Linked DNA regions of Diceros bicornis minor. The protein of the gene in region 3 binds, or shares a complex with, the protein of the main gene of each other region. Links are inferred from orthologs where the notes say so. Each region holds a gene or a part of one and is shown on either strand. Other genes may lie near its edges.

Evidence for each region. The genes of interacting proteins can lie anywhere in the genome.
Region 1: the proteins of GNA13 (region 3) and GPR35 are in contact, whole or in part, in a cryo-EM structure (PDB 8H8J), measured with the Homo sapiens proteins. The link is inferred for Diceros bicornis minor from reciprocal best matches to the Homo sapiens genes GNA13 and GPR35. Residues at the interface, in NP_006563.2 of Homo sapiens: Lys46, Arg47, Leu48, Val49, Lys214, Asn215, Val216, Phe218, Arg331, Gln337, Gln338, Lys340, Pro341, Leu342, Tyr343, Phe359, Arg360, Asp361, Lys363, Asp364, Ile366, Leu367, His368, Asn370, Leu371, Lys372, Gln373, Leu374, Met375, Leu376; in NP_005292.2 of Homo sapiens: Phe45, Gln51, Thr53, Thr55, Met59, Asp113, Arg114, Ala117, Val118, Pro121, Leu122, Arg123, Arg125, Arg128, Ala197, Leu198, Arg201, Pro202, Thr204, Asp205, Gly207, Gln208, Ala211, Ala215, Met218, Val219, Ala280, Lys281, Glu282.
Region 2: the proteins of GNA13 (region 3) and S1PR2 are in contact, whole or in part, in a cryo-EM structure (PDB 7T6B), measured with the Homo sapiens proteins. The link is inferred for Diceros bicornis minor from reciprocal best matches to the Homo sapiens genes GNA13 and S1PR2. Residues at the interface, in NP_006563.2 of Homo sapiens: Arg47, Val216, Phe359, Lys363, Asp364, Ile366, Leu367, His368, Asp369, Asn370, Leu371, Gln373, Leu374, Met375, Leu376, Gln377; in NP_004221.3 of Homo sapiens: Ser66, Met68, Tyr69, Leu72, Arg130, Ala133, Ile134, Lys136, Val137, Lys138, Leu139, Tyr140, Tyr209, Ile212, Val216, Ser219, Gln227, Thr228, Leu231, Leu232, Val235, Tyr288.

What each region holds. Positions count from the first base shown.
Region 1 is NC_080776.1:27,586,476-27,594,276, forward strand, and holds the start of GPR35 (G-protein coupled receptor 35), read left to right. Parts: upstream 1-4,776; 5' UTR 4,777-5,134; coding exon 5,135-5,154; intron 5,155-7,571; exon of another isoform or gene 7,572-7,695; coding exon of another isoform or gene 7,696-7,706; intron 7,707-7,801. UniProt on the Homo sapiens protein: G-protein coupled receptor that binds to several ligands including the tryptophan metabolite kynurenic acid (KYNA), lysophosphatidic acid (LPA) or 5-hydroxyindoleacetic acid (5-HIAA) with high affinity, leading to rapid and transient activation of numerous intracellular signaling pathways.
Region 2 is NC_080769.1:8,930,532-8,937,615, forward strand, and holds the start of S1PR2 (sphingosine 1-phosphate receptor 2), read left to right. Parts: upstream 1-4,059; 5' UTR 4,060-4,255; intron 4,256-4,458; exon of another isoform or gene 4,459-5,255; intron 5,256-7,084. UniProt on the Homo sapiens protein: Receptor for the lysosphingolipid sphingosine 1-phosphate (S1P). S1P is a bioactive lysophospholipid that elicits diverse physiological effects on most types of cells and tissues.
Region 3 is NC_080757.1:49,823,362-49,830,490, forward strand, and holds the start of GNA13 (guanine nucleotide-binding protein subunit alpha-13), read left to right. Parts: upstream 1-4,063; 5' UTR 4,064-4,207; coding exon 4,208-4,490; intron 4,491-6,912; coding exon 6,913-7,129. UniProt on the Homo sapiens protein: Guanine nucleotide-binding proteins (G proteins) are involved as modulators or transducers in various transmembrane signaling systems.

The DNA.
Region 1 (7,801 bases), on a different chromosome or scaffold from region 3:
TGCTGGGGGGATAGTAGGGGCTCTTTTTTCTGCTCCTGCCCTGTCTTCTCACAGTTCTGTGGGTCTGGCTGCTGCTTCCGCCACCACTCCACCAGCCGTTTTCCACGAGCTGGGCCACCCTCACCTCCACTCACAACTGAGCAGGCCACTGCATGAGGATCCAGGCCCTGGATTGCTGCCACTGGGGGAAGGGGTGCTGCCCCCATAGTCCCACTGATTCCTTGGGGTCCAGTCCACCCACCTTCAGATGTATAGCTGCCTGGATCTCTTAGGCATCCTGTTGTGCTATGTAGGGAATCCTCTGGTGGTCAATGGATGTCTGTTTGGTTGTAACTTAGAGGAGAGAGACAAAGGGAACAACTCATTCTGCTGTGATGCTGATGTCACTCTCCGATAAAGACTTTTAAAAATACGTGATCCCAGGGGCTGGCCCAGTGGTGTAGTGGGTAAGTTCGTGCACTCCACTTTGGCGGCCAAGGGTTCATGGGCCTGGATCCTGGGTGCAGACCTACACACCGCTCATCAAGCCATGCTGTGGCAGCATCCCACATACAAAATAGAGGAAGATTGACACAGTGTCCCTGTTAGCTCAGGGACAATCTTCCTCAAGCAAAAAGAAGAAGATTGGCAACAGGTGTTAGTTCAGGGCCAATCTTCCTCACCAAAAAAAGAAAAAGAAAATCATGGTCACAATTCTAGGACCACATCTAACCAAAAAAGGTAGATGACTTTAATTTCATCAAACATGCAGTCAGTCTTCACATTTTCCCCATAGTCGTATACATTTTAAAAAATAATATATTTGATTGGATAGGGATCTCAGGCTCCAGGCCCAAATCCTGTGTGTGATCTCTCCGGCTTCCCATTGGCAATCACAAGGTGTTGCTGGCAAGCCTCCTGGGAGGTGCCCTCCCTACCCCAGACTTGGGGCAGTCAGTGCACTGCAGTCGCTCAGGGGAGCTGCAACTGAGGGCTCAGCCTCCTGGCCAGTGCACTCTTCACACATCTGCATTCCTTGCCCAGATACCACCAAGAAGCCTCCTTACCGGGGTCCTTGGTTGAGGCCCTATTCTCCACCCTGACTCAGTACTTTGCACTCCCAGCCTTCTGCCTCTGTCCACCAGTCCATGCAACAGGGTCCATGCAAAGGCAGGAGCCTTATGTTTGGGACTCCTCGGCAGTGTGATGATCCCCTCCCCACCCCATCTGCACATCATTTGACTCTCACCTGGTGTCCCATGGGGCAAAGTGGAACCCTGAGAAGCCACCACCTTTCTTTAGCCTCTTGCCTGCACTATTGCACTAGATGGATAAAGGCTCAATTGTGACTTGCAGTTGGGCTCAGTGTCCTAATTGGCCACCTGGACACCAGCAGGTCAATAGCATCCAGGTAACATTCATGCCCTCCACTGACTAATGTGTCATCAAGCCTCTTAAGCAATGGCCTTCTCCTCCATCTCCTCAACCGCCTCTTGACTCTTGTTCTGGGTGCCTTGCCCTGCAGAGTGGCCCACAGACAGGAGTCTGCAGCTTGCACCCTGGAGTGTCATGACAGTGTTCCGTGTCTTCTCTAGCTCCTTTCACTGGGGGGTTAGCTCAAATGCTTCATCAGGTTCAGGTGTGATTTTTGTTTTGGGCAAGACCACCACCAATCATGAAGTGATTGAGTTTGTTTTTTTAAGTATAATTACAGCTTCATGGATTTAAACATTTTTTGTGTTCCAATTCATTGAAATTATTCTCCTTATTGTATTCAAATCATCTCATCTTTGGCCCATGGGGGTGAATGTGAGTTGAGTCTTGAGTCCCTTTGACATTGGCCAACAGTCGTGATCTGCTTTGTTCTCTAGTATGAAAAGCTATTCCAGGCTCATCTTATACATTTCCTAACCCAGAGCTGAAAGCATCCACTTCTCTCAGGAGCGCCTCTTCCTCTTTCAGAGAAATGATCTCTAGAGACCACAGTCTGGATGGTACAGGTGCTTGTTTTTAGGCCTTGTTGGTGAACAGAACTCAGAAGTTTTCTGTTTAAGATAAGACACAGTACGAGTACATACTGACACTTTCCACTCAAATTCAGATCTACATGGTTTTTAACCTTATCGACTTAACTTTATCGATAAGACATCTGCATCTGCTTTACCCCACACAGAAATCTCAATAATGCCCAACATAATTATTCATTCATTTTATGACACAATAACCTCAAAATAACAGTACCAACACTACCATCAACAGCATGATTGCTGAAAGCAATTTAAGATGTTTTTATCTAGGTGTACCAACAAAACTATGTTTTAAAATTATTTGGAAAACAATTACAGAAAATGAAACATTATTCTTTTTGTACTCAAGCTATATAGATCTACAGTCAAAATCCTGGATTTTAAAGTCACTTGGAAGAGTTTGGTAGGGTTATGCTACCAACTGATAATGCAAGTTAATTGGTTTCATCTTGCTTTCAAATTTAATAATTCCTTTTAAAATATAACTTAATTTAATTTAGTAATTACCTAAATATTTACATGGTTCTAAAGCCAAATCTATTAGTATTTTGGTGGTGAACATGATGTAGTCCATGCAGAAATAGAAGTACAATGATGTACACCTGAAATTTTTACAATGTTATAAACCAATGTTACTGCAATAAACAAAAAATTAAAAAAAAAATCATAATAATAATAATAAAGCCAAATCTATAAGCCAAGGTGTATTCAGAGAAGTCTAGTTTCTATCCCCTATCTTCCTTTACCTCATCTTCACCTGTTCCCTATAGGTAACAATTTAATTTAAAACAAGTTTTATGGCTTATCCTTCCATTTGTAAAAATATAAGCTGCTGGCCCTATATAAATAAATAAGCATGAACAGCCTTTTTTCACTTAGAGATAACCATGTAGTAGTGTATAGAGATATTTCTCCTTCCTTTTTACAACTGCTCGGTGCTCCATGGTGTGGATGGAACATACTTCATGCAACCAAAGCCCCATGGACAGACGCTTGAGTAGTTTCCAGGCTGGTGCTACTCAACCGTGCTCTAAGGAAGAGCCTGTCAGGCATCTCTGTCTTAGTTCTACCATCTGTCCGTAGAATAGATCCCTAGGGGTGGGATTACTGGGTCAAAGGCCACTGCAGCTCTAATATTGCTGGATATTGCCAAATCTCCTCCATGGGGGTTTGTACCATGCTAAATATCAACGACATCCAAGGATGTCATCCCCCCATAGATTATTGTCAAACTCTCAGATTTTGCCATCTGACAGGGGAGAAACAGTATTGCAGTGGACTTTTAATTTATAGTTCTCTTATTAGGAGTCCATTGAGGGTGTGTTGTGTGCCAGTTTCAGCCTATCCATAACCAGTGTTGTGGCTGGACCAGCCCTTGAGGTTCTATGATTGCAAGATGCCCTTCAGCAATAACCATCAGGAAACTTTGAAAAAATAAAGGCTTATTATGTACAGGTCCTGGAAATTACACAGCACACCTGGGGCCACACAGCAAGGTCGTGGGTAGAGAGAGAGCATGGGCCTGGGGTTCTGCTCCTAAATTGGGGTCAAGGGTGGGGGTCTAGGGTTTCCAGGGCTCACTCTTTAATGCTGAATTTAAAACGTGAAAGCAAGAATTTAAAGTGCAGGGAGAGAAAAAAAACCCAGTGGCCCCAGTGGGCAGTTATGGAAATCAACCTAGATCTCTAAAACAAAGAGGGAGTGCTGGCTCTTTCTCCTGCAGCTGGCAAAGTGTGTATTCAAGATGGCCATCTGTGAATGCCTCGGCATTCACAGGCATCTTTGATGCCTCGGCAATCAAAATTTAAGTCAGGCACTTGCATTACAAAAAGAAAAGCCAACTGTCAGGATAACCAGACAGCATCTTTTCATATCTTTAATGATCTGTTTACATTTCCTTTTCTGTGAACTGTCTGTCCCCATCTCTATCAATGGGTGTCTTGCCCATCCTCCAGAGGAAGTGTCTCGGAAGGTCAGTGGTCCAAGGAGTGTCAAGGGGATAATACAGAACCCCCTGCAGAGTGTTTCTCAAGGGCAGCTGAGCACCTCCTACCTCCGTGTGTCTTGGGGCACATGCAGGTTAAGGCCCACCACTTCTGGGATCTACCCTGGACCGACTGGCCCAATCAGCCAAGGCTGGAGGCCCGCTGCCCTGGGGGCGGGGAGGGGGAGGCAGATTCGCCTTCCTGCTCCACATCGGGCTGCTGGACACTGGCGGTTGACTCTGAAGCAGGGGCGAGATGTGCTCTGCCCCTCAGCCTCCTTGGCCGGGGTCACCGCCGGAGAGCAGGGCCGCGGGAGACCCCGCAAGCGCTTGAGTGGGAGCCCACCTGGGAGACGGGCGGGGCTGCAGTGGGCGGGGAGGCCAAGACCCAGGGCGGTGGGGAGGGCGTGCGGCTGGCGGAGGGAGGGCCGCGGGGGTGCGGCACCCCAGGAGCGGCCTGCAATCAGAGCCTGAGGCCGAGAAAGCGGAAGGAGGCCTGCAGGGCAGAGGAGCACTCAGCAGGCGGCCGAGGGGGCGGAGGCGGCGGGAGGCAGGAACCTGCGGCTCCAGTCTCGAGGCGGCCACCTCACTGCCACTGCCGCGTTCCGGAGCCGCTGCGTGCGGCAAGAAGAAGGCGGTGGAGCTGTTGGGTGAGTGACCGCCCAAGGGGTGGCTGTCGAAGGGGACAGAGTGGGTAGGAGGGGGAGCGGAGGGACGCTGTCCGGGGGGCTGCCCTCGCAGCTCTGGTGTGGGTTTGGGACTCTGGGGGGTGGATGGGGCCAGGACCAGGGCAGGCAGCCCCAAGTACACCCTCAGCCCCTCTGCCCCCGTGCTGTCCCCTGCTGCTATGTGACGGAGATGTGACCACAGGCGGGAGCCGCCCAACTGAGAGCCAGCAATGCCTCGGGACCCCCTCAGACCCTCTCAGGACCTCTTACACCCCCTACATAACCTTTTCATGACCCCTCATGACCAGTGGAACCAAGCCTCCCTGTCCCCCATCCCTAGGCACAGCCAGGCCCTGAGGGCGTGCTGCTGGGGGCCTCCTTCAACCCCTGACCCTCCTGCTCCCTGTTCTTATTCTCAGCAGCACCCCTCCATGCTCAGTCATGTTTGCTGAATGCATACATGAATGAATGAATGAATGGATGGATGGATGGATGGGTAAGTGAGCAGCATGGGGCCTCAGAGGCACATAGCGGCTTTCCTGTAGGGGGATAGGCAGGAAGAAGCCCCGCAGTGGGGTAGCAGCTGCAAGGGCAAGGACTGGAAGAATTCCTAGGTGAGGGCCCTGGTGGCCCCAGGGGACTCGAATGGCAGGGGATTTGGAGCAGTGCCAGGTGGGTGGTGGGCAGGAGGTGGGTCTCCTGCAGCCTGGGTCGGGGCATTTCTCACAGGAGGTTCGGTCCCTGTGTGTCCCTTGGAGATGACAGAGACACTGGCTGCTCCCCCGCCCAGTCCCCCTCCCCCACCCCACAGGGAGGAGGACATGGTCTGCCCTGCACCCCAAACCACTTCACGTGGTGCAGTCCCCTCTCTGCCATGGCCTATGGTGTGGCACCCCAGGAGCCTACTTAGTCCGCGGAGAGGAGTCACAGGCCATGAGAGAGATGCCCAGGGCACGGGCAGGGCAGCTGGGGCAGGGGCCAGCGTGGAGCAAGTTGCCGGTTGGAGGGACCTCAAGCCAATGATCTGGACTTGCAGCGCCGGCCCCTCTCCCCCTACATGTCCCCTTGTTGACCGGCCACCTCGTCTGCCCGTATAACTGATGGGCTTCACCCTTCTCAGAACTTTCCACAGCCACACACTTATTTCTCTATGTTTATAAAGTTTTTATTGTGGAAAGTTTCAAGTGCACACCGAAGTAGGGGCTCTAGTACAGAGATAGATGCCCATGTCTCGGCCCGGCCCACTGGGGTCAGTCCCCACCCCCACCCCATCCCAGGGAATCCCAGATACGCTGTCAGCTCAGCCAACGTCACCTGAGTGTGTATTTCTAGCAGATAAGGGCTTTGTCAAGTCACCCCACAGCGCCGTCATCGTGCCCGAGGAAAAATGCTAGTTCTTTACATTGTTCCCTTGCTGGTCAATCTCCTGATGTTGGCTCACAGAGAAAACCTCTCCCAGGTAGCTCGTCCCAATCCGGGTCCAAACGAGGCCCACGCATCTGGATGTGCCAGTCTCGCCCTGGCTCTGGCCTTGGTGGAGCTCCTGCCGTCCCGTCCGCACTCGGCAAGGCAGGCACAGCGGGCTGCTTCTGCTCTGGCTCTGAGGCTCGGCCTGGGCTCCGTTAACTGCCCTCAGCAGGGGACAGACCTGCGAGGGGACAAAGGGAATGAGGCTGAGAAGAACCAGTGAGGGCCTCAGACCCAGCCAGGAGAGGACTCCCTGGAGGAGAGGAGAGGGCTGGGGACAGTGCTGCCGGGCAGGGGTCACCATCCCGCCCTCCCTCATGGAGCTGAGGCAGGTCTGAATGCTAAGAGAAGACCCCAGGATCATGGGGAGATGGGACAGGAGAAGCCCCACTAGTGGGGGACAGTGCCTGCGGGTGACCTGGGGATGGGGTGGCAGGGGATCAGGCTAGGGGTGGAGTTTGAGAATGTTTCCATCTGATGGAGCCTCGTTTTCCTGCTAGGTGGGTGGCACAGTGGCCAGCCTGAGAGCAAGCCTGAGCTGGTATGGCTGGAGGAGGATAGAAGGGACTGTGAGAGCAGGAGGGGGGGCCAGGAGCCAGCTGAGGGCAGAGTGGGCCCACCCTGTGCCTCCATCCCCCCTTCCCCCTAATGATGTCCCCATTCCCCTTCCCAGCTGTGTGCCATCCACCTCTCCCCATCCCCCTCCCAGTGGCTTCCCCCTCATCGTCATCCGCCCAAAGTGGGAGGGGGCGGGGTGTTTCCCATACCTGATTTCAGCAAAGAGGGGAACAGAAAGTGCTGGCAGCAACAGAAGGTCACATCCTCTCTGCTCAGCTGCGTGGGGATGCGAGGCCCACGGCTAAGCCCAGGGCCCAGAGACCTCTCCAATTCCAGGGATGTGCTGGGTCCCGGCCCCAACTGGGCACCTGGATGGGGCAGGGGCCAGAGTGAGGCAAGTGAGGCACTGGCCTTGGGCACGGCATCCAAGGGGCTGCCAAGAACTCAGTCGTCCAGATCAACCGTACTCCAACACAGTATTTAAGTACATCGAAGCTAATACAACAGTCCACATGGACAAAGAATCAGCATTTTAGATACAGGCAGGGTGGTCAGACTGCCATTCCTTTGCCTCAGGCTCCAGTATGGCCCGGGGGGGGGCCAGTTTGTGAAAGACCTGCCTCCAGTCAGGCTCTGAAGGCCGCCACAGTGGCCAGGCTCACAGGGCTCCACAGGGCTCCCCTCGGCCAACACAAATGGCCACATCTCCGTGCAGACAGCCAAGCCGCCCTCCCCCCACCCCCGGCCAGCTGTTGTGGGCAGAGCCGGGGGCGAGATTGTGAAAGAGGAGTCATCAGCACGGCCTCCTCCAAACAAGGGCCTGGTTCCCGGTTCCCAGGCCTCAGGCTTCCCTTCTGCGGGCCTTGCTCATGCCCTTCCCTCATCCAGGCAGCCACTCTCATCTCTGCCTCCTCCCACCTTCGAGGCCCAACTGAAGTGCCACCTCCTCCAAGAAGCCCACTGGTCTGTGAACCCCCACGTGTTCCCATCAGGCACTGGTGCCCTGTGGCACATGTATCCCATGTGAGTGCTGCTCCCTCTGTGCGAGGGACCCCCTGGGCTATGCACCCTCCTGCCACGTCCAGCACGGCGCCCACACATGGAGTGGTGAGGATGGG
Region 2 (7,084 bases), on a different chromosome or scaffold from region 3:
GCCTCATTGATTTGGGGGAGTTCACAAAATTTGGGATGGGAGTGGGATCAGAGAATTCCCCTCACCTGGATTACAGAGAAGAATGTTCCTCCTCTCACCAATGACTGATGTGGTCCTGAGTGGTACCCACCGCCCTTCTGTCCTGACCCGCCAGGGCAGGGATGCAAGTCACTGAATCTGGACTGGGGCGGGGACTTGAGATGAACAAGGAGGCAGAGAGCTTTAGTCCAAATCCCACCACTACTGTGTGCCTCAGTTTCCTCATCTCTAAAATGGGGTGACAAGGAAAAGGCAAAACTATGGAGACGGTAAAAAGATAGTGGTTGCCAGGGGTTGGGGGGAGGGAGGGAGGGATGAACAGGCAGAGCACAGAGGATTTTTAGGGCAGTGAAACTGTTCTGTGTGATACAATGATGGTGGATACGTGTCCTTCTCATTTGTCTAAACCCATAGAATGTACAACACCAAGGGTGAACACTAATGTCAACTATGAACTTGGGGTGATAATGACATGTCCATGCCAGTTCATCAGTTATAATCAATGCACCCTTCCGGGGCCATGTTGATGGTGGGGGAGCCTGGGCACATCTGGGGGCAGAGGGTATACGGGAAATCTCTGTACTTTCCACTCAGTTTTGCTGTGAACCTGAAACTGCTCTAAAAAATAAAGTCTATGAAAAAAAATGGGATGATGATAATAATAACACCCACCTCACAGGGTTGTGAGGATTCATAGGGCCGCACCCAGCACAGCCCGTGTCTGTCGCATGAGTGAGCGTTAGCCATTATTGTCAGAGGCCCTGTAATTAGTGGAGGCTGGTCCAATTCTCTTCCTTCTGTATTTCCCCTTCCTGGGACTCCCCAAGAAAAGGGCCTTGCTTCCTTCCTCTTCCACAGTTCTCACTCAGGGTCTCCCCTAGGGCAGGGCCCAGCTTTGCATTTAACCCCTCCAGACCATCAGGAAGTCTAGGCCTTCAGTGGTTTCCATTTCTCCAGCCGTCCCCTCAGCTGACCCGGCGGAGACCTCGTGTTGTGTCAGATGTAGGAGGCGGTGGGGTGGGGGGGAGGTGGAAGTTGCTTGTGAGTGCCTCTGTGTGCCTCAGGGGACATCACCTTTATCTAGGAGCCATGGTCCCTGTAACAGACAGCCGGATACGTCTGTGGCCTTGACATCACCCCCACCCCCAGGTCCCTGGGGGTATGGCAAACTGCTGAGCTAGCCGAGGGCACTTCCTCCGCAGCCTTCAAGTCCCCACAGAGGCTGAGATTTCCGCTCCGATAGCTCCGTGGGGAGGAGAGGACCCAGTTCTCTTTGCACTTTACTCCTGTGGGTTGAACACCTGGTTTCTAGAGGTCGTCCGGGCAACACATGTCACTTGGCAGAGGATTCAGTGAGGTGTTACCGAGGTCCGAGTGGACCCCAAGATCTGGCCTGGAACCAAGTGGACACTGAAATCTGGCTCAGGAAAAGAAGCGAAGTCTCTCTGACTTTTCTTATCTCCCCATAAAGCCCTGCTACCCTGTGTTAGAACTATCTGATTTCTTCTGTCTCCTCCATCGGACTGTCAGCTTGGGACGGCAGAAACCAATGAGGCATCACCAGAGATAGCACAGAGCATTGTATGTTGCATTATATGAATGTATACGCTGCCTACATATATGTAGCATTAACATATTGATTTTTAATATTCATTTCTTTATTAATCACTTACATATGTTTATTCTTAAGATCAATTTATTTAATGGTGATATGTCGATTGTTGATATGTTTATTAACATTATTGTTTATATTATTGATATTATTTATTATTGTTATTACAGGAAAAATTTTACAACTAGACGTCTGGCGATCTGTTTGTTACCTTTTATCTGATTTTTCATGTCTTTGTAAATTTTTTGAATTGGTAATACGAGCTAAAAACTTCCAGTCCCCCAGAGTATACCATGAAAAGTCTGGCCCCTTCTCACCTGTTCCCCTGCTCCCCAGCCCCCCTCCCTGAGGGTAACGGCTGTGACCAGTGGCTTGTGCCTTCTCCCCGAGATGGCCTATGAGTCCACAGGCAAATATGTGTGTATTTATACAGTCCTTATATATACACCTAGACGATGCGTGCAAGCAATGCAAACTGGTCTACTCTGTGTTTTTTTCAACTTAACATCTTGAAGAGTTTCACATCCAGACTACTCCATTTTTTACTTTTTTCTTAGTCATAAATGGATCAATTTTAATTTCCTTTTTGGTTTTGTGTTTTAACACTCTTTAAGAAGTGTAACATACATACAGAAGAGTGCACCAAAAGTCTCCTTTCTTTTTATCAGTTGCATTGTCTGGGTATCAAGCAGCCTTAAATTTTTTAAAATTTCAGCTTTATTGAGGTATCATTGACATATAAAATTGTAAGATAGTTAAAATGTACATCGTGGTGATTTGATAGACACATCGTTAAAGGATTTCCCTTTCTAGTTAAATAACTCACCCATTGTCTCACATATTTCTCTTTCGTGTATGAGAACATTTACGTTCTACTCTCTTAGCAAATTTCACTTATACATTGCAGTGTTATCAACTGAGGTCACTACTGTTTACGTTAGATCCTCAGACCTTATCCATCTTATAACCTAAAGTTGGTACCTTTCCACCAACCTCTCCCTGTTCCCCCACCCCAGCCCCTGGCAACCACTTTCCTACTCTCTGTTTCTATGAGTTTGACTTTTTTTTTTAAGATTCCACATATAAGTGAGACCATACGGTATTCATCTTTCTCTGTCTGGCTTACTTCACTTAACATAATGCCCTCAAGGTCCATCCATGTTGTTGCAAATGACAGGATTTCCTCGTGAGTGAATAATAGTCCATTGTCTGTATACACACATCTTCTTTATCCATTCATCCTTTAACGCACACTTAGGTTGTTTCCAGCTCTTGGCTATTGTGAATTACGCTGCAATGAACATGGGGGTGCAGATACCTTTTTTTTTAGCATTATGCTGTTCAACACTCTTTACTGAAGTATAATATATACATACAGAAGAGTGCACCTACCCCCTCCCTCCTTTTTATTGCATGGTCTGGGTATCACGGAATCTTAATTTTTAATTTAATTTATTGCTGGAATAGGGCACATACGCACGTCACAAAAGTCAATAGGCATGGAAGGATTCACAGAGTGAAAGCAGCCTCCCTCCCATGCCCTGTCTCCTGTCTTTCAATTCCTCGCCCAGGAAATTTACCAGTTTCTTCTTCTTGCCATATTCTGGATATTCTGCATGCATACAGTAGAATATCAGCTCCTCAGAAACACGGAGTTTTGTTCCTTAATAAATGTTTAACTTTGAGAATAGTGTCTGGCACCTACCAGGTGTTTAATGTATTTCATAAATAAACATATAAGCAGATTATGTATACATTTCCACAAATAGTACCCTCCTAAAAGGCTGAATGAGGGGAACGGGAGGAAACTGAAGGATTAAATAGAAGATTGGCCCTAGCTTGGAACGCAGGGCGCAACCTGGGCCTGCTGGTCGACCACAGCGAGGGTGGGACAGCTATCGATAAAGGGAGGGTCGGCTGTTGGGTGCTCCTGGGAGAGGGAGCAGCGGCTGAATTCTGAGGCCTTATCAAGGCAAAGCCAGTCCTGTCTTTGGGGCAGGGCGTGGCACATAGTAGGATCTTGATTATTTGTTAGATGAACACGCACATAGAAGGGGCTTAATGCCTATTTTCTGCGTTGACACATAGTCGGTTCTTAATGGCTCCTTGTTGAGTAAATAAATGGGATCCCGCGCTCTCCTCCAATTCTGGGGTCCCAGGGATGGGCCAACAGTTTATTCGCAACCGAAGACAGTTGTTTCAGGTTGAGGTCACCTGGCCAAGACAGACGTGACGTCACCAGGCTGCGTGACGTCATGCGCCGGCCGGTTCTCACGGGTGGGGGCTGGGAGGGGCAGGGCGGGAGGTGGGGGTGCGGACAAAGGGACCCCGCGCGCCTCCCCCGCCGGCCCCCGCGCGCGCGCCCCGGCTGGCCAGCCACATCTGGAATTCATTGCCGCCGCCGCCGGAAAAGGGAGGAGAAGAGGGCGGGGCGAGTTGGGGGGCCGAGGCGGTGCCTTTCCCCGCCCCCCCTCCGTCCCCGGTCCCCAGCCCCGGGACGCAGCCGAGCCCGGCGGGCAGCCCCAGCCCCAGCCGCGGCCGTCCCGGGGACGCAGACGCCCAAGCCCCTCCGACCAGGGCAGCGACCCGGGCCAGCCTAGCCAGGTGAGCGTGCGTGGCGAGGGGGAGGCAGAAAGGGCGGGCCCCGGTCTCCTGAGGTCGCAGGATCGGAGCTGGGGGGCCTGGCCAGGGGTTGGGGGCGCCCCGGGGCGCGCACGCGCCGCGCGTGCTCCTGCTGCACGGAGGGAGTGGTCACCGTGAGCCCTCTCCACGACTCCAGGCGGCCCCCACTGCCTCGGCCGCGAACCCCCAGACTGCGCTCCCTGCCTTCCCCAGCGGCAGGAAGTTGGCGCCGAGGAGAAGGCGGAATCCGAGCGCTTTCAGTCGCAGACTGGGAGGCAGGACAGCGAGCCCCGCGATCAAGGGTTTGGGGAGTGTGTATGGGGGTGTAGGGCGCCCCTCCTGGCTAACTCGGGCTGGGCGAGGGCGAAAGGTGCTGCGCGCCCTAGAGCTTCCAAGCCAAGGGGCGGGGCCCCGGGGAAGGCAGTCGCCCACTGTCTGCTCATCTGGCTCTCTGCCTCAGTTTCCCTGAGTAGTTCGTCTCCTCCAGTCCGCCCGCGGGGGCGTGGCTTTGTTCTTGAGGGACAGGGAACGTGACTGCGTGGCTCCGGCGCGTCGTCTTTATCCTGGGGATGGGGCCTGGGTGCAGACGTGCGTGCCACAGACCCCGTGTGGTCCCGGGCCCAGCAGAGCGTCGGAACCTCGCCCCCTCCTCCGGCACGAATTGACTCACCCGGGGATTTCCACCCCCTCCCCCGAGTCCGCCCTAGTCAGGTGCTCCGGGCGCCACGCGCTGTGCCCACCGTCCTCCGCGTGGCGCAACGCGGGTGCAGCATTCGTGGTGCGGCTGCTGCTGGAATCTCCCCCCACCCCAACCCCCAGTGCTCCGGGAATGCCAAGGCGGGGCCCCTGGGACGGAGAGGAGCCCCCCACCCCCACTTGGAGATGTTGGGGGTCCCGCGCGTGTGGCTGTCGCGGGAGAGAGGAGGCGCGGCCCCAGCGGCTGCGAGTGTGGATACCGCGCATTCCACGGCCAGATAAGGAGGTCGAGACTGCGGCTGGAGGGCGGGGGCGGGTCCTGCCGCCGTCTCCACGGAGACGCGCTGGGCTTCGCCCGGGGTGGGGGGGCTGCTCGCGGACCAGAGGCGTCTCCAGCCTCCCTTGCTGTTGTTTGGGTCTGGGCAGAGTTTAGGAGCCTCCACCCTCGGGGACCCACTGGGGCCTTGTTGGTCCGTTCATTCATTCATCCGTCCATCCATCCATTCCACATGCTTTCTGAGCACTTCTGTATGCCAGGCATCGTTCCAAAGGGGCTGAAAACCGACTGGGTGGCTGGCCTCCGACACTCACGTTCTACCGTGGAAGCCAGACAGAAAACAAGAAATACAATCATAATTTCCAAAATTTGCAAGTGCTGTGAAGATCATAGAGCAAGATGCTGTGATAGAAAGGGCCTGAGGAAGGCGGCTCGAGTAGACTGGCACGTCAGAGGAGGCCCCTCTGAGAAAGTGCCCTTAAAACTGAAACCTGAAAGATGAGGAGATAGTCGTTCAAGGATTGCGAGGAAGGGCATGCCAGGTGGAGGAACAGCCGCGGCAAAGGCTGTGAGCTGGCGATGGGGGTGGCAGGCAGGAGGCCAGTGTGGTGGGAGTGGAGTGACCCTGGGGGAGAGTGGGAAGAGACTAGGTGGGAAGGGGCCAGGCCCTTTGGGGCAGTGGGGAGCCATGGTAGAAGCTGGAGCTGAGCAGTGGCCTAGTGGAGCGCCCCCTGGCTGCAGCGCGGAGAATAGGGGGTGGGGCCTGAGAGCTGAAGAAAGGGGGAGAGGGGCTGCCCTAGGGCAAGAGGCTCATTGAGTGACCGGGAGGAACACTTAACCACAGGAGTTGCCTCTAAGGGGAACTTGGGGAAGGGGTGCCTGGAAGCCACTGAGGCTTCCTCCAGCCTTCCTCTCTCCTTATTTCCCCTTGAACAGTCTTGGTCTGTCTCTCTTCCCTTCCCTCCAAACCCTGTCACTTGTGGCTCTCCCTCCATTGAGGCCAGGGACCGCCTCCTGAGCTTCTGTGTGTAGCCAGCCTGGGAGGCTGACACAGCGAGGGGAAGCTGGCAAGGGCTGTATCGGCCTCGGGGTGACTCTGCCAGCCCCAACCTCCGGGCCCTTCTTCCTCTTTCTGGGAAGCAGACCTGCCGTCAGTTCGCGTGTTAGCAAAGTCGTCGGGATGCAGTGTGGGCCTCAGTTTCCCCTTCTCTAACTAGGAGAGCCGTCCTGCCTTCTGAGGATGCCTTGACAGCCTCCTGGGGCTGCAGAAAGTGAGGGTACAGCGCCCCCTGTCTCTCCCCCCTCCCCCCCAAGAAGACAGACTTGGTCAGTCCCTGGGGTGCAAGGGCTGAACTCATTTCTTATTTCGCCAGGAAACGGCTATAAATCTTTCTCTTGGCCGCCAGACAGGAGACGAGTGGTGGCCCCACATGAGGCGGGGACGGGGCGGCCACGGAACATACCCTGCGCTTCTCGCCCACCAGCAAATGTGTTTCCCAGGCCTGCGATGGGTCTTTGATTGTTAATTATGAACCCCAAGAGGGGCCCAGTAGACCAGGGCAGGCTGGGGGCGTCTGGTCGGGGTGACCCGGCGGTCAGGCCGCGGTTCAAACTCTCCCCTGGGACACCCACACAGCCTTCACTCTGTCCTCGGAAAGAAATGAGCTGCAGCCGCCTGCTGAGGTCCAGATCAGTAGTGCTGGCCGGAGAGCGCCCCCAACGGGCCAATCAAATACCGAGGACGGAGAGCTCAGGCCAATAGGCGAATCGCTCAATGCCCTGGGATTGAAAATGACCCAATCAGAGCGCGTGCTGTTTCTGGCCCGACGGCTGGTCTG
Region 3 (7,129 bases):
ACTGGACTCTATGGTGACTCACAGTTAAGTACAGTTAGCTACTTGTTTCTTAAGTTTGAACTTCATACACGTGGGCATTAGGGGCCTAACCACCATTTTGGCAAATCAGAAAGAGCACTGGATTCAGAGTCAAAAGAGGGTGCTCTGTAATTGGCCAAGCTGAGTTAAACTTTTCTTCCTCTCAGCTTCCTCCTGTGTGATGGAAGCGAGGTTAATGATGGGTGTTCCTAGTCAGGCTACTGTGAGCAGAGAATGAGATAAAGTAGGTCAAAGTGCTTTGGGGCGTTTAAAACATTACACAAACGTAAGGGATTTGTATTACGGGAGGGCTAGGGAATTCCCTTTCTCTTCTAGTATGGAAAGGAAGGAAGATAGAAAAAAATCCATGCCTGTTTTATCTGTGAGAAAGGATTAGAATCCATCTATTTTATATGAAGATGAGATAGAGCAGAGTTGTGTAACAAGAATGCTGGATGTGTCATCATTCTTACTAGAAAATTAACACAAGGTTTAATAACATCAGTAATGTGACTGATTTTTAAGTAAACATATCCAAATGGGTGTTGTCCTATCCAGAGCAGTGAGCAGTCATCTTGGCAGGTGAAATACTTATTTAAATTATATTTCTCATGATTCAAAGAAAAATTTTTTTAACTCCTCTTTTGGAATTATTCCTAGAGCCTCTGGCACATTCTTTTGAATATGTCTGAGGGTGACAAATTTTTGTCTTTTGTGGCTAATACTGATTTCTGTAAACAGCCCAAAGTTATTTCGCATGAAGACAGTAAGTGACCTAAGCAACACCATTTTTTTTAATTGAAAAAAAGCTATGACTATAAGATAGGAAGCTGATCTTTCTTTCAGTTCAAACAGAAGAGTTAAAAGTAGTAGATTTCAAGAATTGGCAGTATTGTTGGGAATGGCTTGTTCCTTCCTAAGGTGACCACATCAGAGGAGAAAGGCCATTTGGAAATGTCCATTTCTACATTTTTAGTCACACATTCATTATTTATCTTGCAGGACTGTTTGCCATTAGATCTTGAGTTTCCAGAAAGAAAAGAGCATAGGAACAAATCAACCATTCAATCATTTTATCACAGCTCCTTGGGGCATCTGAAGCCCTCATTTGCACATGGATTAACTGGCTAGCAACAATACAGATGTTTCCAATGAATTAACAATGAGTCTACTGGAAATATAGCACTCAGCAGATCCAATAGACTCTCTACTCTCTTAAAAAGTTTGGATTTTTTTTTCAGTTATGAAACAACCTATCTGAAAATTAAAACATCACTAATATCATTACACTGTAACAATGCAACTGCTAGGGTAGATTTGCTTCTGGTGCAAATAATTTAAATTGTTAATGTTATTTCAAAATAAACACAATTGTACTTTCATTTATTGAATATTACACATTGTGGGTATTTCAATGTTAAATGATGTCAATGACATTGCTTTTATGGAAAATATTATTTTCCCTACCTCATTTTTTATTGTGGTAAAATTCACATAACATCAAATTCATCATTTGACCATTTTAAAGTGTACAGTTCAGGGGCATTTATGTTCTGCAACCACTACCACTATCTAGTTCCTAAACATCTTCACCACCCCAAAAAGAAACCCTGTACCCGTTAAGAAGTCACTCCCAATTCTTCTCTCCTCCTAACCCCTGGCAATTATTAATCTGTTGTTCCTATGGATTTATCTATTCTTGACATTTCATATAAACGGAACCTTACAATATGTTGCCTTTTATGTATGGCTTCTTTTGCTTAGCATAATGTTTTCAGCGTGCATCCATGTTGCAGCATGTATCAGCACTTATTTCTTCTTAGGGCTGAATAATTCCATTGTATAGATATACTACATTATGTTTATCTGTTCCTCCACTGATGCATATATGGGTTGTTCTCACCTTCTGGCTATTCTGAATAGTGCTGTCATGAACAGAGGTATATAATTTTTTGTTTGAACACCTGTTTTCAATTATTTTTGATATATACCCAGGAGTGGAATTGCTGGGTCATATGGCAATTCTATGTTTAACTTTCTGAGGAACCACCAAACCTCTAACTCATTTTTATGCTTACAATTTCAAGGTGGCCTGATTACCAGACAGTTAGAAGCATTTGTACTACTGTAGCCAAACCCCAGGCTGGGCCCAAAGAGGTCTCTTTTTCAGAAACGCTGATTAGAGCAGCTAGGCTTGATCCGAGCCAAGCTGTTCCAACACAAGGTTACGGGCAGGGCTTTGAACAGCTTTCTCTGCTGCTCTACATGTCACAGCATGAACTGGCTGGGCAGGAATATCTTCCTGCCTCCTAGGCATCCTTGGTTCTCCATTATGTTGCACACGCTTTGGGTGGAAAAAAAAAGATGTTAACTACCTAGCTTACAGGCTTCGCTCCTTCTCTTTTTGCAGAAGAGTTCAGATTAGCACCAGGAGTCCATGTAGGAATGGTGCTTCGGAGGCAATGCTACACCTCAGTTCTGAGCAGAGATTCGTCCTTTCATGATGGGAGAACAGGGCCTCCTGAACACTAGTTGAGACTAGAGAGAGATCTTCCATCCATCCGGGGTAGACTTGTACCATACATTTTGCTTGAAGGCACTGCCCAATGATTCTGACCCTATCAATCTATAGATACTGAAGTTGAACCTACCCTACTCTGTATGTTGTACATGGTCCACCCTATGGTCTTGGCCAGGACAACAGGAGATAATCTTACTACATGCATTGTTTACTGCAGCTAATTTACTGAGTCATGAGTCTCCTCAACCATTAACCCAACCCTGACAGTACACTGATGAGCACTGATTTTTTTTATTTAAACCTGTTCATGAGCCTCAGAATGCTGATCTCTTAGCTCCACTGCCTAACACATAGGTAGTTTCTGAGCTACAGGAGCTCAAATCAAGAAGTATTATGATTGCACTGCCAAAAACAGACATGGACCAAAACGGCTTTTTCCCCTTGAAACTAAATATTAAGAATGAAGAAGTTGGCTTCCGGGGCCCTTGCTAAGCAGTCTCTCTTCCAACTCAGCTGTCACTTGTCACTTGTCTCCTGGCAGCCCTTTCAGGTGTCCTGGCCTGAATCTGCTATTAGAACAGAAAAAAGTCCCTTGGCTGGTCATATCCTCTGTAATCTGGCAGGAAACCTAAAATTTGCCTGCTCCCGTCCTCGGTCTGTTTGCTTATCTGCTTCCTTGTAGGGAAGAGTCTGCATCACAGTGTCCGGTTCAGGGGGATTTTCACCATGACCTCACCCTCCTCCAGCTACCATCCACTGATTTCAGCGCGGCAGCTCGGGGATCCACATTAACAACCCCTCCTTGCCCATCTCAGATTAACATCAACTCGAGTTATTTCTCCTCAACGGAGGGTCTTTGCAGAGGTCTGAGAATGCCAAAAAGAGCTGGGGGCGGGGGGAGCTGGGGCGGAGATTGACGACGTTTGGTTATCATTCTGGGCTTGGGAGAGCAGGATGTCAAGGGAGCCACCTTAAGAAAACGCATCAGAAGTCTTCCAGGCTTGCGCCCACTGTTCGAATAACTTTCGATCCAATGGCCTCGAAGTAAGGCGCGCGAACGGTGACAGCAAGCGGCGGCGGGCACGTAACCCGGGTGTAAGAACGGCGGGAGCGGTTGGGAGGCCCAAACGGAGTGTCCGGGATCCGGTCTCCGGCCTCCAGAGCTCGGGGAAGTAGCCTTTCTGCCCCTAAGTGGGCGCAGCTCATTAAAGGTAAACAAAGTCGAGCTCCGCAGACTAAGAGCGCCCCCGACCTGGCGGGAGACCACGTGACCGCTCCTAGCGGGGGCCCCCCCCCCGCCCACCGCCCCCGCACGAGCCCGCCGGCGGCCGCGGGCACGCGAGCTAGAGCGTGGCTCGCCGGCCCAGAGCGGGAGGCGGGAGAGCGGGCGCGGCGTGCGTGCGCGCCCCCGGGAGGCAGCGAGCGCGCGCACGCCCCTGGGGCCACCGCCCCTCCCGGGCCCGCCCTCTTACCCTCCCTCCCCGCTCGCCTGGCCCGCCCTGCGCGGCCCGCCCTGCGAGTCAGTCGCTCGTTCCCTCCCTCCCCCGGCGCGCTCGGGCCGCCGCAGCGCTCCCCGCCCTCGAGCCGCGGAGCCGGAGCCGCCCGCCGCCCGAGGAGGAGGTGGAGGGAGCCGGAGGGGCCCGCCGAGGCGGCGGCGGCGGCGGCAAGATGGCGGACTTCCTGCCGTCGCGGTCCGTGCTGTCCGTGTGCTTCCCCGGCTGCGTGCTGACGAGCGGCGAGGCCGAGCAGCAGCGCAAGTCCAAGGAGATCGACAAATGCCTGTCCCGGGAGAAGACCTACGTGAAGCGACTGGTGAAGATCCTGCTACTGGGCGCGGGCGAGAGCGGCAAGTCCACCTTCCTGAAGCAGATGCGGATCATCCACGGGCAGGACTTCGACCAGCGTGCGCGCGAGGAGTTCCGCCCCACCATCTACAGCAACGTGATCAAAGGTGCCGGGCCGGGGTCGGGGGGCCGAGGGCGGGGGCCGGGGGCGGCCGGCGCGGGGCCGGGCACCGCCCTCGTTCGCTCTGTCCCTGGCGGAGGAGCGGGCCCGGCGAGCGGGCGGGAAGGGGGCGCGGCCAGGGCACCGTCCCGCCTGCCCGGGGTGCCGTCGCGCCCCAGGGAGAGGATGTCGGGGGGCCCCTCGCTTCGCCCTTCCCGTCGGAGTGGGGGTCACGGCCAGCCCCTTACCCCCCACCCCGCCGTTGGCCTCGCCCCCTCCGAGGGGGAAGTGAGGCGAGCCCGGTGCCCGGGCTCCGGGGCGACCTCTCCTGTCTTCTTCCCTCCAGACGAGGCGGGAAGACCCGAGAGCCAACCCCTGCACCCCCACCCCCTGCTCGGGCGCTGCCTGCCCAACCTCGCCGCCCCGGGTGGGTGACCCGAGTCAGATGGGGTCGGGTCTGCTCCCAACTCCCCGCTTCCTTGGCCGCCTCCTGAGCAAGGGATTTCTGGAACCGTTGCGATAAGAAAACTTTTGCCTGAGACTCTTGTCAAGGGCGAAGAGTGACAGGCCCTGGGGCATTTTTGGGCAAGGATGTGAAACTTGAGGGTGTCATGTTTACTGTGCTGGCATCAGGAAAGGGTAGACCCATACAGTTCGTCTGAAAAAATTAGCATCAGTGGTTTTTCGCCTCAGTGTCACGGTCGGGCAGGATGTTTGCCTGTAATCACTATGCAACACGTTCCACTCTCCTTTTTGCTTAATAACTGGGGGCGGGCGGAGGGGAGGGGGTACCCACCACTTGCTTCTACTATTTAAATGAAGTCGTGCTTTGATAGGAAGAATCTTTGGCCTAAAAGTGATGCGGAGCCTGTACAGGTTGAGTCAATGAATCGTCGGCTTGAATCATAGGCTCTGCTTCTGACAGTATTTTTAAAATTAAAGGTAAACTTTGTCCTTGAGTGAAAAGTTAACAAGAATTTTATGTCTGGGCTTTCAAAGAATTAGAGATGATGGTTTTTATTTTGTCATTTGAACAGTAATTAGAACTCATTTTTCTTAGTATCAGATGTTTTCTGCATAAAAGGCATTTTCGCAAAATTGAGATGCAGAGCCTGGTACTTCAGGTGCATCAGGATTCTTTTTATTTTATCTGGGTAGCAATTACTTAGGAGTTTGCTACAGATTTCGGGTGTTTTCAAGCAGTGTTTTTTTAAGTGGGATTCTTTTATTCTGGAAGTACTTAAGCAACTCCTTTGTGTGGCTTTTTTTTCTCCCAGGATTGGGTAGAGGAAAACTGCTTGGGCTGGGGGGAGTACTGGGGGGTAATGGAGGGGAGTAAAACACAGGGCCAGGAGTTCACAGACCACAGCTAGCTCTGAGCCCTAGTATCGCTGCAGTTAAGCTGTGCGAAAAGTTGTGCTTATCCTATCTTAATGTTGAGCACAAAACTAAGGTCCCTTTCAAGGCCGAAGACTCCGCCTTGCCAGTCTTTAATTGAAGGTACCTTTGTATCCTGATGCAGCTGATCTTATGGAATTATGTCAAAGAATAGAGTCAACATGTTAACTGATTATGAGCCAGGTAAACACCTGGTTCTTAATGTGCACTAGGTCCTAAGTGTGACCTACTTTGAGCATTGTTTGTGAGATGAAGTCACTAGACATCTACTTTTTTTGAGTTGGCATGATGAGAAAATTGACAGCAAAACAATTTTTCAGTTGTCCAAACAAATGACTTAATAGTCATGTGACTATTAAGATGGACCAAGGTAACAGTTTAGTGATAGAAATATTGAGTTTGAACTAATCTCTGTGAGTGGAAATCTCTCTCTCTTTTGCAGTTGATCTTCCTCCCTTTTAGGGAAATCGAAGGCCATCCTGTGACTTACACTGATTTGAAGCTTGGTATGAGAGAAGTGTTTGAGTTTTGAATGTGATCCTAGAAGACTCAGTGTTGGCTTATAAGCAGGGTGCTCAGGGAACAAACAGAACACAGCGATAATGTTTGGTTCTTGGCGTTTCATAAATAAATGTCTTTGAGAGGCTCATAAAATCTTGGTTGCAGCCGTTTTCTCCAGAGCCTGGACATCGGGCTATGCAGTATAATTTCTTTTTCCTTCACTAGTTTTAGTTCTCTTGTGACTACCTTCTACCCCAGAAGTTATTTTATAAATTAGAAATGTGAAAAGTCTTCAGAAAGAACAATTATGTTAATAGTATTTGCTTTTCAAGGCTCTAATTTTATGACTCTGAACAACTGTTAGTTTTTTTAAGCTCTGAGAAGTTATGGTGTTTGTTTTGATGTTGGTCTCCATTTTGGAGGTGGTGGGCCTGGAGCAGTTAAGAAGTTTAAGAAAATAATACTGGAATAGAATCTATGAGAATATCTAATGACTCCTATCACACTTTTTTTTTTCTTTTTAAACAAAGGTATGAGGGTGCTGGTAGATGCTCGAGAGAAGCTTCACATTCCTTGGGGAGATAACTCAAACCAGCTCAATGGAGATGTGATGATGGCATTTGACACGCGGTCCCCCATGGCGGCCCAGGGCATGGTGGAAACCCGGGTTTTTCTACAGTACCTTCCTGCTATAAGAGCCTTATGGGCCGACAGTGGCATACAGAATGCCTATGACCGGCGTCGAGA